Bombyx mori: one gene and its partner. The protein of the gene in region 2 interacts with the protein of the main gene of each other region in a biochemical or structural test. Links are inferred from orthologs where the notes say so. Each region holds a gene or a part of one and is shown on either strand. Other genes may lie near its edges.

Evidence for each region.
Region 1: the proteins of general vesicular transport factor p115 (region 2) and syntaxin 5A form a complex in vitro, tested with the Homo sapiens proteins (2 studies listed by BioGRID). The link is inferred for Bombyx mori from reciprocal best matches to the Homo sapiens genes USO1 and STX5.

The regions. Positions count from the first base shown.
Region 1 is NC_085118.1:10,688,216-10,693,238, forward strand, and holds the start of syntaxin 5A, read right to left. Parts: upstream 3,285-5,023; 5' UTR 2,484-3,284; coding exon 2,459-2,483; intron 1,110-2,458; coding exon 958-1,109; intron 787-957; exon of another isoform or gene 575-786; coding exon of another isoform or gene 569-574; exon of another isoform or gene 535-568; intron 348-534; coding exon 1-347. UniProt on the Homo sapiens protein: Mediates endoplasmic reticulum to Golgi transport.
Region 2 is NC_085109.1:1,633,844-1,639,052, forward strand, and holds the start of general vesicular transport factor p115, read left to right. Parts: upstream 1-2,051; 5' UTR 2,052-2,210; coding exon 2,211-2,291; intron 2,292-3,945; coding exon 3,946-4,080; intron 4,081-4,149; coding exon 4,150-5,093; intron 5,094-5,209. Other genes in the region: uncharacterized protein LOC101741560, read right to left, coding at 974-1,223, 1,387-1,451. UniProt on the Homo sapiens protein: General vesicular transport factor required for intercisternal transport in the Golgi stack; it is required for transcytotic fusion and/or subsequent binding of the vesicles to the target membrane.

The DNA.
Region 1 (5,023 bases), on a different chromosome or scaffold from region 2:
TAAGTTTCCAACACAGCAGCTTTTCTATCATCTCTTACGGTTGGTTTGTTTAAGAAACGTCCTTGGAGACTGCGTACAGTTGAAATGAATTCACTTGTTCTATCTCTTGAAGCCATAACTGGTTCAAAAACAAATTCTTCTAAAAATTTAAACACGTCCTGGTCAGATGATTTAAGAATCAATGTTGATTTGGAATTTGATGAGTTCTCGTAAGGCCGCGATTCCCCGTAATGAACACCTTTCTTATCTAATTTATTGTATGAATCCGTTTCTGTTTCCAAGAGTCTTTCTGTAACGCCTATATTTCGCCTTCGAGGAAGCATCGCATTGTAGTCTTCAGTCTTCACCTATAAAGTTTTACAGAAAAAACGTTGTCAACTTTGTTTGATAAGTAAATTACATTAAGTCAAACAGTACTGTTACACCACACATATGCTTTACTTGTTAATGATTGGGGATATTTTGTTTGAAAATGAAAACTTACAATTTACATAATTGAGGCAGTATTTCACAATTTTACATTCCAATACTTACTTAGAAAACCAATAGCGTTCAAATAATTACGTACTTTCATAGTACATTCATGTGTGTACAATATTTATCATTTCATCTCATCGATTCTTTTCAAAACTCGATGATATATCTATCTTTTAAATTATCAAGTCCCACTATTCCATTTTTTAGATAAGGTATGTAGGTACCTACCCACAATCCTTTATTTTTAATCACTCGATAGATTCCAGACACGTAGTCATAGATAATACACTTAACACGTAGGGGTAGTCATAGACTATTCTGGCTTAGTTTGTCCATTACTCACTCTGTCACTCACATGCGCACGAATACGCAAACCCGCAAGTGTAGGACGACATTTGCGAATGATTATGCAAAGTTTTCGCTGCATTCGTGGTTTTCCAAGCTGTGTCGGTTTTTTAACAGACATCAAAGCGCGCGAACCTCGAACCTTCGCGTAGTCTCCCACACATTCGCTTGCCCAGTTGCGCCGACGATTGCGAAGGTAACGCCGTTTTCATAGTTCGTGACGTCTACTGTGTAGCGTATCTTCATCAAAAGAAATCCCATAAAAACAGCATGGCTGTTAATCATGTCTGGGAAAGAATTCAAAAATCTTTTTCTTTTCAATGTTCTATTGACGAATTAAAAAGGAGGAGAAATTCGTGAGACATTCGTAAACAAGTGTAGGAGGAAGCGCAAACGGGTTCGCAAATTGAGTATGCGAACCCATTTGCACAGCCGCTAGGTTTGCGAATGAATGTTTGACGGCCCTTTACATGCGCGCAAACATTCGTACAATGTACGAATATTTGCGCGCATGTCAGTGGCCGGCATTAATACAATTAATTTTTTTTTTATCTCAGATCTACTTTTTTTACTCTTTGGGTTACAGTCCTGTTTCATTTTCATCTTTTTATGGATTTTAGTTTCTCTTCATGCCAACAAATTGTTGCCGTAAAAATTCTATAGAAATAAAATAATAATTTCATCTGTCATTTGAAACATATTCAACAAAATTTTCACAATACAAACATCTGGAACAGCCATTTCAATGTAATCTCAAAAAGCATATTAATTTAACTGTTGTACCACTTCGTTAGAATTGATGTGGGTATACCTAGTTGTTTGTCTTAGCAATTTTTGGCAGACTAATGACAATGTGTTTATGTTTCTATAGAGAAGGTCGATCTCTTCACTTCCAACTATTTAAATTAAATGACGAAGAAGTGACACCAACGAACATGTGTGTGTGTATCAAAAGATTATATCGTGTGATGATCAATGGGTCGTTTTTAAATTTGGGGCCAAAAGCGAGTTATTTAATTCTCATAATAACCTTAATGTTACCGTAATTATATGTTCAGTAAATTTGTTGTCATAACAGGCGCGTGGTCCTATAACTATACACCACTATTTTTAAATTAGTACAAAAAAATTAACTGGGCTCTAAGTATCTTTAACTAATCATATTATATGGTAGTTAAAAATAAAAAAAACACGAAGTCTCAGAACTGTCCATAAAAATACGTAATAATTGGTAAATGCTAAATAACTAAATCAATGACCGAAAGTACGTGCGGCAGGGTTTTAGTATCTACGGGGCGCTGCTCCATTGATAAATTCCAGGAAACTCAAGTCAACTCAACTCAACAATAACGACAAAAACCTAAACACTACTAAATTGTTAGCGGAAGTGTGCGCATGCTTTTTTTCGTTGCAACAGTTGTTTGTTTAAGTTTTCCCTGATGCGATGGCTTATCAGTTCACATCACGGGAGTATGTAGCTATGCTTCGTGGGTACTTTTTGAGTGGAGAAAATGCGAGTGCAGCTGTACGTATGTACAGGGAAGAATACCCGAACGCGAGTGCAGCTGTACGTATGTACAGGGAAGAGTACCCGAACGCCCGACAGCCAAATGTGCGAACCGTGGTAAATGCTTACCAGCATTTGCTTGATCACGGTTCATTCCACGCACCGTCACATAGTCAAGAACGAGGAAGACTGGCGTTGTGACAAAATCTGTACGACGATGTACTAGCGTATTTTGAAGAGGATCCCCGACGGAGTACAAATGACACTGCTCGACGGTTTAACAACAGCCAGTCCTGTGCCTGGAAGATTGTTAATAAGGCCGGATTATATCCATATCACTACAGGAAATCTCAGGAATTAACCACCGTTGATTATGTAGCGAGGATTTCATTTTGCATCAGGATACTGAACAATACCGAAGCAAATGTATTATTTTCTGCATTGGGCCTGTAGCTTGGCCTCCACGCTCACCTGACCTCACGCCCATGGACTTCTTTTGTGGAGTGAAATTAAGAGATGTGTGTACAGAAGCGAGCCGGTTAGGCTCGCACAATTAAAACAGCGCATATTGGACGCTTTTGACGAAGTGAAAAGACATAGAAGCGCACTTCTCTCGTTAAAAACGAGTTAATGAAACTTGCCCGTCAATGTATTGACAATGGTGGTGGACATGTCGAAGGACAATTGAATATACAAGTATTCATGATGAGATGATATGGGATGAAATATAATCTCAGTAAAATGGTGGTTATTTACTGAAATTTTTTTAGTGGACTTTTTGGAGGATCCCGATAAGTTACGTCCAGCGGCTTTGTTTCATTTTACCACATTTGTGCACTTTCACAGATATTAAACAGTTAATAAACCACCGTTATTACACATTTAAACCTGAAGAAACACTAAATAGACAAAATAAAACAAATCACACAACTTCACTCCTCACGTTCCCCCCAAAAAGTCGCTGTCATTTTTTTTTCTCTTTTTTTAGGTATTTTATGACCTGGTAGCTAAGACTTTTAAGTCATGTCTTATTTTAATTTATACTCTTATTTTTATGAAAAATTATGAAATGAAATGAAGATGATTAATTTGAGACATTAATCAACTGGGATGAAATCAAATGAAATGAAATGAGATGATATGGGATGAAATATAATCTCAGTAAATTGGTGGTCATTTACTGAGACTTTTTCGTTGGACTTTTTGGAGGATCCCGAGAAGTGACGTCCGGCGGCTTTGTTTCATTTTCCCACATTTGTGCACTTTCACAGATACTAAACAGTTAATAAACCACCATTATTACACATTTAAACCTGAAGAAACACCAAATAGACAAAATAAAACAAATCACACAACTTCACTCCTCCGTTCCCGCCAAAAAGTCGCTGTCATTTTTGTTTTTTTTTTTAATTTTATGACGTGGTGACAGAGACCTTTAGGTCATATCTTATTTGGAAAATGTTCATTAGTTTGGGGCTGTCATTTATAGTTCACTTTTATCATAGATTATCATAGACCTATATAGTAGGGACACGACATATTGTACTATACGTACAATTGCTTATATAAATAGCACCCATTTTGAAGGCACACACATAAACATATATCTATCTCGTTCTTACTCAGCACTTTAACTCGCAGGAAAATAATATAACAGTATTTCAGTGCGTACATAAAATGAAACATGAATATACGTAAATGTCTAATGAGGCCGAAAATCCGCCATGTTGAGCGCTCCAAATGTCATTGTCACGTCAGTTCGGCCGTCTGTTTTGGGTTGCGATTTAATATGATTGCTTATATAAAATTTCATATTTTATCATGCTTAAAACATACAAAAATAATAATTAAAACGTATTTTATAGGATCTCAAGAAAGTCGATGCCCCAAAACTATTATCTATATATATTTAAATTCATTACGGAGCCCTCATCCGAAAAATCATTTTTCGGTCGGAATCTATTGATCATGACACTAATTATAAATACCTCTTTAAAATATGTCATCAAAACATATTATTGACATTCTGTTTAGATATTTCGGGAAAAAGGCTACCGACAAAATCTCTTCGGAACTATTTAAATAAAATAGTTTTATGCCGCAGTGAATAAAACACTATTGTAAATTCGGTAAATATTTAATAATTAAGTGATTTTAGAGAGGAAGTCACAAGGAATGACGTTTGTAATTAATGAATAAATGTTCTGTATAGTGGGATTTTTTATTAGACGAAGTAAACTGACGTTTACTGTGTTGTCAGGTTTTGATGAAATAAAAATAGTGTTGTGACAAAGTGAACGATTGAAAAAACTCCTGAATTAATGAAATTGCCTCGATTGTCTAATGAATAGTAGGTGTGCCGAATTGCCGATATCGGGTACGGGGTTCGTATTTTATGCGTGCTTTGTACATACCAACGAGTTTTCGACGAAATATTATGTTCCTATAGTATCTACCTGTACTGAATACCGAGTGTTTTAAACATTATGAAAAACATTGCGAGGAAGCTTGTAAAACTGTCCTATTTCCAATACATCAGATAGTTGAAATTATAGATGTATAAAATATAACAATTATAGGTATGTAACGAAAATAAAAAAAAGTGTGTGTGTCCGCTCCGACGCACGACTGGAGTTTACTGGATATAAATATAAATTTGTGTCAGTTGAATACAGTAAAATATGGAAGTTACGT
Region 2 (5,209 bases):
ACCACTTAACACAAGGTGGACTGTGTGCTCATCCACCCATCTAAGCAATAAAAAAATATATAGCTGAAATACTAGCTAGACCTGCTATTTGGAAGTCTAGCCACCCAAAGTGTTTCTCGTACTTCTTGTGGAATTCTCCATCTATAGGTATACTCTGATTCTTATTCAAATCATGTACTTTACAATCTTTTCCAAATAATAGGTCCTGAACCAAAAAACTATTAATTTGTAAGCAATATCGAGATAATTTCGATATAGACATTTCGCTATCGGACTTCCTTACTAGTCGCGGCAGCGAACGTGAGTACCCGTGGCCTGCAAACGGTGCTGCGCGAATGGTCGCCTCGTCCACCGCTTCGCTGTTCGCACCGTCGATCCCCGTGGCCAGGCCGTAAGAACACAAACACATTAATTTGATCAATTACTTTAAAAATCATGTTTAATATATTATACATATACCTAATGTTTTTTGTATGATTTAGGGTTTTGGCAGACCTCAGTCTCAAATGGTTAAGATTTGGCAGGATTGCTCTATACTACTTTTAATTATGCATGAAAAACCAGAACAAATAGTACTCATTCTTTGAGGGTTGCCTAGGCTTATTATCAATATAAAAGTATTACGTAGATACATCTTCCATTTCAAAAATCAATTTGTTTTTACATAAACTTGTAAATTATGGATAAGATAATCATCACACTCTGCTCTAACCAGAGAAGTGAGATTAATCAAAGGTTTACAATCAACAAATAATCTCTTTCACAACAGTATACTTCATGAACAATGCTGCTAATACTACAATTCATTGCTTAGCTAAAGATACCTATAATATGTATATGATATGCCACAATAGCTATTTATGAAAGGATTCAATTTTAAATCTTAGTTGAAAATGAAGAAAATGTATCTCGCACAGTATTGTTGGCTAAGCAAGAAAATGTTGCTTTAAGATATTTCAATCCAGCATCTTACTTCTAAATTCTCTCTTTCGGGACTGTAGAATTTCATTGACTTCAGTTTCATCTCAGCTTTAATGAATTGTCTGGCTGCAGAGATATAGTGCTCTGCTTCACCAAGGAAATTTCCCACCGAGGCCTCGCATTTCGCAGCGCCCACATAAGAATGCCCTGCAAACGTTGGCTGTTCAGAATGTTCACATTGTATCGCTAGTGCTATAAACTCATTTGTTGCTTCAGAAACATTTGGCTTCCGCATGAAACGCCTGAAAATTCAACGTAATTATATTTCATTTTTGCTTTAGATTGAACGCAAGTTGTAAATATTAGTCATAATATGTTAAAAAGTATGTTAAAAAAATATTTTCATTTTTAGTTTTTTAAAGCTATGAAATACATTATTTACAATAAGAAAAAATATATATTTACTTTTTCATTTTTGTATTGATGTTCATGTATTGTTCTGTGAAACTGGAGTTTAAATCAGTAGACATTGTCGATGTTGTACGTAATAATCAAAATAAATAATTAAAAAAACTGAGGGACTGTTTGTAAATTTGTAACGTTTAACTTTTTTCTGTTTTATTAGTCAATTAGGCAGACGAAGGGAATGTAGTCTATACAGGCATGCTTACTTTATCAAAGGTCAAAGAATGAAACAAAATATTAAATCAAATGGAATTGATGAAAATAAGTTAAGTAGGTAGTGCCTCTCAGGAAACTGGTTAAAATTAATTAAGAGTTCAATTAATGTTTTGGAAGAAGTCGAGAAGCCATGTCCAGCTATTAGTTTAGCTTTCATGATCATGAATATTTTAGTTAATACAATACCTATTCAAGCGTTACCCTTTTAGTTGGTACAATAATGAAATGTCGACGACCAACATTTTAGCCATCGTTTGAGGTTACGACCTCATGTTTCAGTGTGATTGATGACGTTCACGTCGTGATGTCTTTGGGGCCCGGCGAGTACCTAGGTATATACTTACGCAATACAAAACTTAGGAAATTTTGATAAAAATGAATATTTTGAATTTAGTAGGTTTTGAATTTGTCGTAGGAGAATTGTCTATAAGCATCTGGCAGCATTGCACCGGTCACCAACTGTCAAATTCGTTTGAAGGTTTGACGTGTCTTTTATTTATGGAAAGGACTTGAACATAATTTCACGAAAAATAACAAGTGATAAAACATGAGTTCTATTATAATTACTTTCTAGAGGTATAAAGTGTATAGCAACGCACGTAAAAAAAATGGATTTCCTCAAAAGCGGTATTAAGACTGTTCTGGGGTCTCCAGAGGTCGGCACTGCCGCACCGTCTCCAGCTGAAACGGTGATCATTTTATTAATAAGATTTCTAGAATAATAGTCTACTCTCGGGCTATTTATAGATACCAATCAAGTACTGTTCATGTAAACTAGACTTTTATAGCATCAAGCAATTTGAAAGATTTGAGATAAAATATAATTATTAAATTAATTTGTAAATTAATCAAAATCTTATCTCTCATGCACTCACAGACTAATACCACGCCTACGGAGCTACGTTTTGTACTGAACTGATGATCATTCCTTTAAGCCACCATAATTTCATATATTCAGCACTATTCACTATATCTTACTAGATGACATTCCAATCAAATAAATCTGAGGAGGCATTGTTTCCATGACTTGTGGGCAGGCCGTCAGCTATATGTTGTATATGAACACAAAGTATTTATATTCAGCAAATCAAGATCAGTTTTCGTTTTTAACTACCTCTGTAGATGTGTGATTACTACTATAGTTTACTTTATTTTTGGCTCAGAGAACAGTGCCCTTACATTTAGTAAAAACATCGGCTATCGTAATTAATAATGAGCATTTTTTATAATAAGCTTTCTTAATGAGCAGGTTGCAGAGAATTATCTGTCAATCTAAGAGCTACTAGATTTTGCAGAAAATAGTATTGAAATTGATTAAAAATAATAATATAGTGTCTTTGACAATAACCACATGAGGCTAAGCGGCCTGTCTGTGTACGTAGTGCAAAACAGAATAGTAAATGTGAGATTACACTGTAAAAGCTATTTTAATTAAACTGGCAGTAGGACCTCTTGTGAGCAATAAAAAGAGTATTTAAGCAATAAAAAATATATGTTTATGATTTGCAAAAACTGATGACAATACTATATCATGGTACAATTTTTAAAAATGTGATGTGACTTCAGACATTTTCAAGAGGCTGCAAGTTTGCAAATTTGGAATATATATAGCAATATGGAATAAAAACCACAATAAGAATATATTTTTTCTAGAAACCATAATACTTTTAATAGTAGTATACGGACCAAATGAAAAACTGTCTGGCTATTAACCAAAATATAAGACAGCAAAATAGCAAAGTCTCTGTAGGTAGATCAAGTCGTAAAGAATCTTGTTATTGAGGTTCATAACCTTAAAAAATATGCTAATTTTTAGTTTTACTAGTGCTTAGTAAGTATTACTGAATGTACTTATTTTTTTGCCTATAGCATTGTACTATAGCATAAAATATTTAAATATTTAACTAATAATGTTAACTTTAGGAGATTGTGTCTTGAAGCTAAGACTCCCACTCCATCAATTAAAATACAAAATTTGCAGGAAATGATAAGACATTATTTAACAATTGTAATTTTAATTTAACAAATTGTCTACTCATATGTTATTATAACTTGTCAAGCATAAAATTATTATAACTATTTATGCTGTTATCTTGACATGTATATGTACACATGTCAGTCTCTGCTACCCATAGCACAGGGAATCCTAATTTTAGGCAGAATGACCGCGCATGATTTGTTCACGGTTCCCAGTTAAGTAATTCATCAGTAAAGTTGAATTTTGGCAATTTGTATTTGTTTACATAATAATCTTTGGTTTGCTCTTTAAGGATTTACTATAATTTAAAATAGACTAATAGGTTAAGAAACGCAATAATGAAATACACGGCATTGGTGGGACAGGTCGAGCGACTAGTGGAGCGCGTTACGAATTCTACACTGCTTCAAGACCGCAGAGACAGCTGCCGTGCGCTCAAAGCACTCTCGCAGAACTACCGCATTGAAGTCGGTGCCCAGGCCATGGATGCTCTCCGTCAGGTTAGTACTGGTGTGTGGGTCATAAATCTCATTCTTGATTATTATTTAATAGCTACTTAAATTTCCCAGGTACTAGAATTAGACAGAGCAGACAATGAGACGATACACTACGCACTTGACACCCTTAAAAATATTATGTCTCCAACTCTTTTCAAAGTTGAAGAGGACAACCACCAAGTTCCTTGTAACATCGGGGAACAGTTCACTGAAATGTTCATTAAAGATCCACAGAATGTGCAGCTTGTGTTAGATCTTCTTGACGAATACGACTTTCGCGTGCGACTCTCAGCCGTACAGCTACTTACTTTCATGCTCACGAACAGGACCCGTGACATCCAAGAGATCATTCTAGTCAAACCAATGGGAGTATCCAAGATGATAGACCTCCTCGGAGACACCCGGGAAGTCGTAAGAAACGAAACATTGTTGCTTTTAATAAAACTGACAAAGGGCAATGCCAACATACAGAAAATAGTAGCGTTCGAGAATACATTCGACCGATTGTTTGAGATAATTGCGAGCGAAGGACACGCCGAGGGCGGTATCATCGTAGAAGACTGTCTGTTACTGATGTTGAATCTGCTGAAGAACAACAGCAGCAATGTGAACTTCTTCAAAGAGGGTAGCTACGTGCAGCGTCTGCTACCACTGCTGGCGACGCGCGACGACGAGGCCGAGGAGGCCGGGTGGGCGGCGCAGCGCGTGGCCAACGTGCAGGTCACGCTGCTGGTGGTGCGCGCTCTGGTGGGCGGGCAGGGCGCGGGCGCGGGCGGCTGTCGACGCGCGGTGCGGGCGGGCGGCGTGCTGGCGGCGCTGTGCGGCGTGCTCATGTCGAGCGGAGTGCCGGCCGCCGTGCTTGCCGACACCATCCTGGCGGTGGCCGACGCGGTGCGCGCCGAGCCCGAGTCGCAGGACTACCTCGCGCAGGTCACCGCGCCCTCCGACCCGCCTCGACCCACTCTTCTCGTCCTGCTCATGTGTATGCTCAACGAGAAACAGCCATTCCAACTTAGGTAAAGTTTTATAAACAATACACTTATCTTCAGTCAGACACTTGTTAGAGTGGTCGTGGTTGCGCTGACGATGTATATGCAGAAGCATCCATTAGGTCGCCCATGCTCTCGAGGAC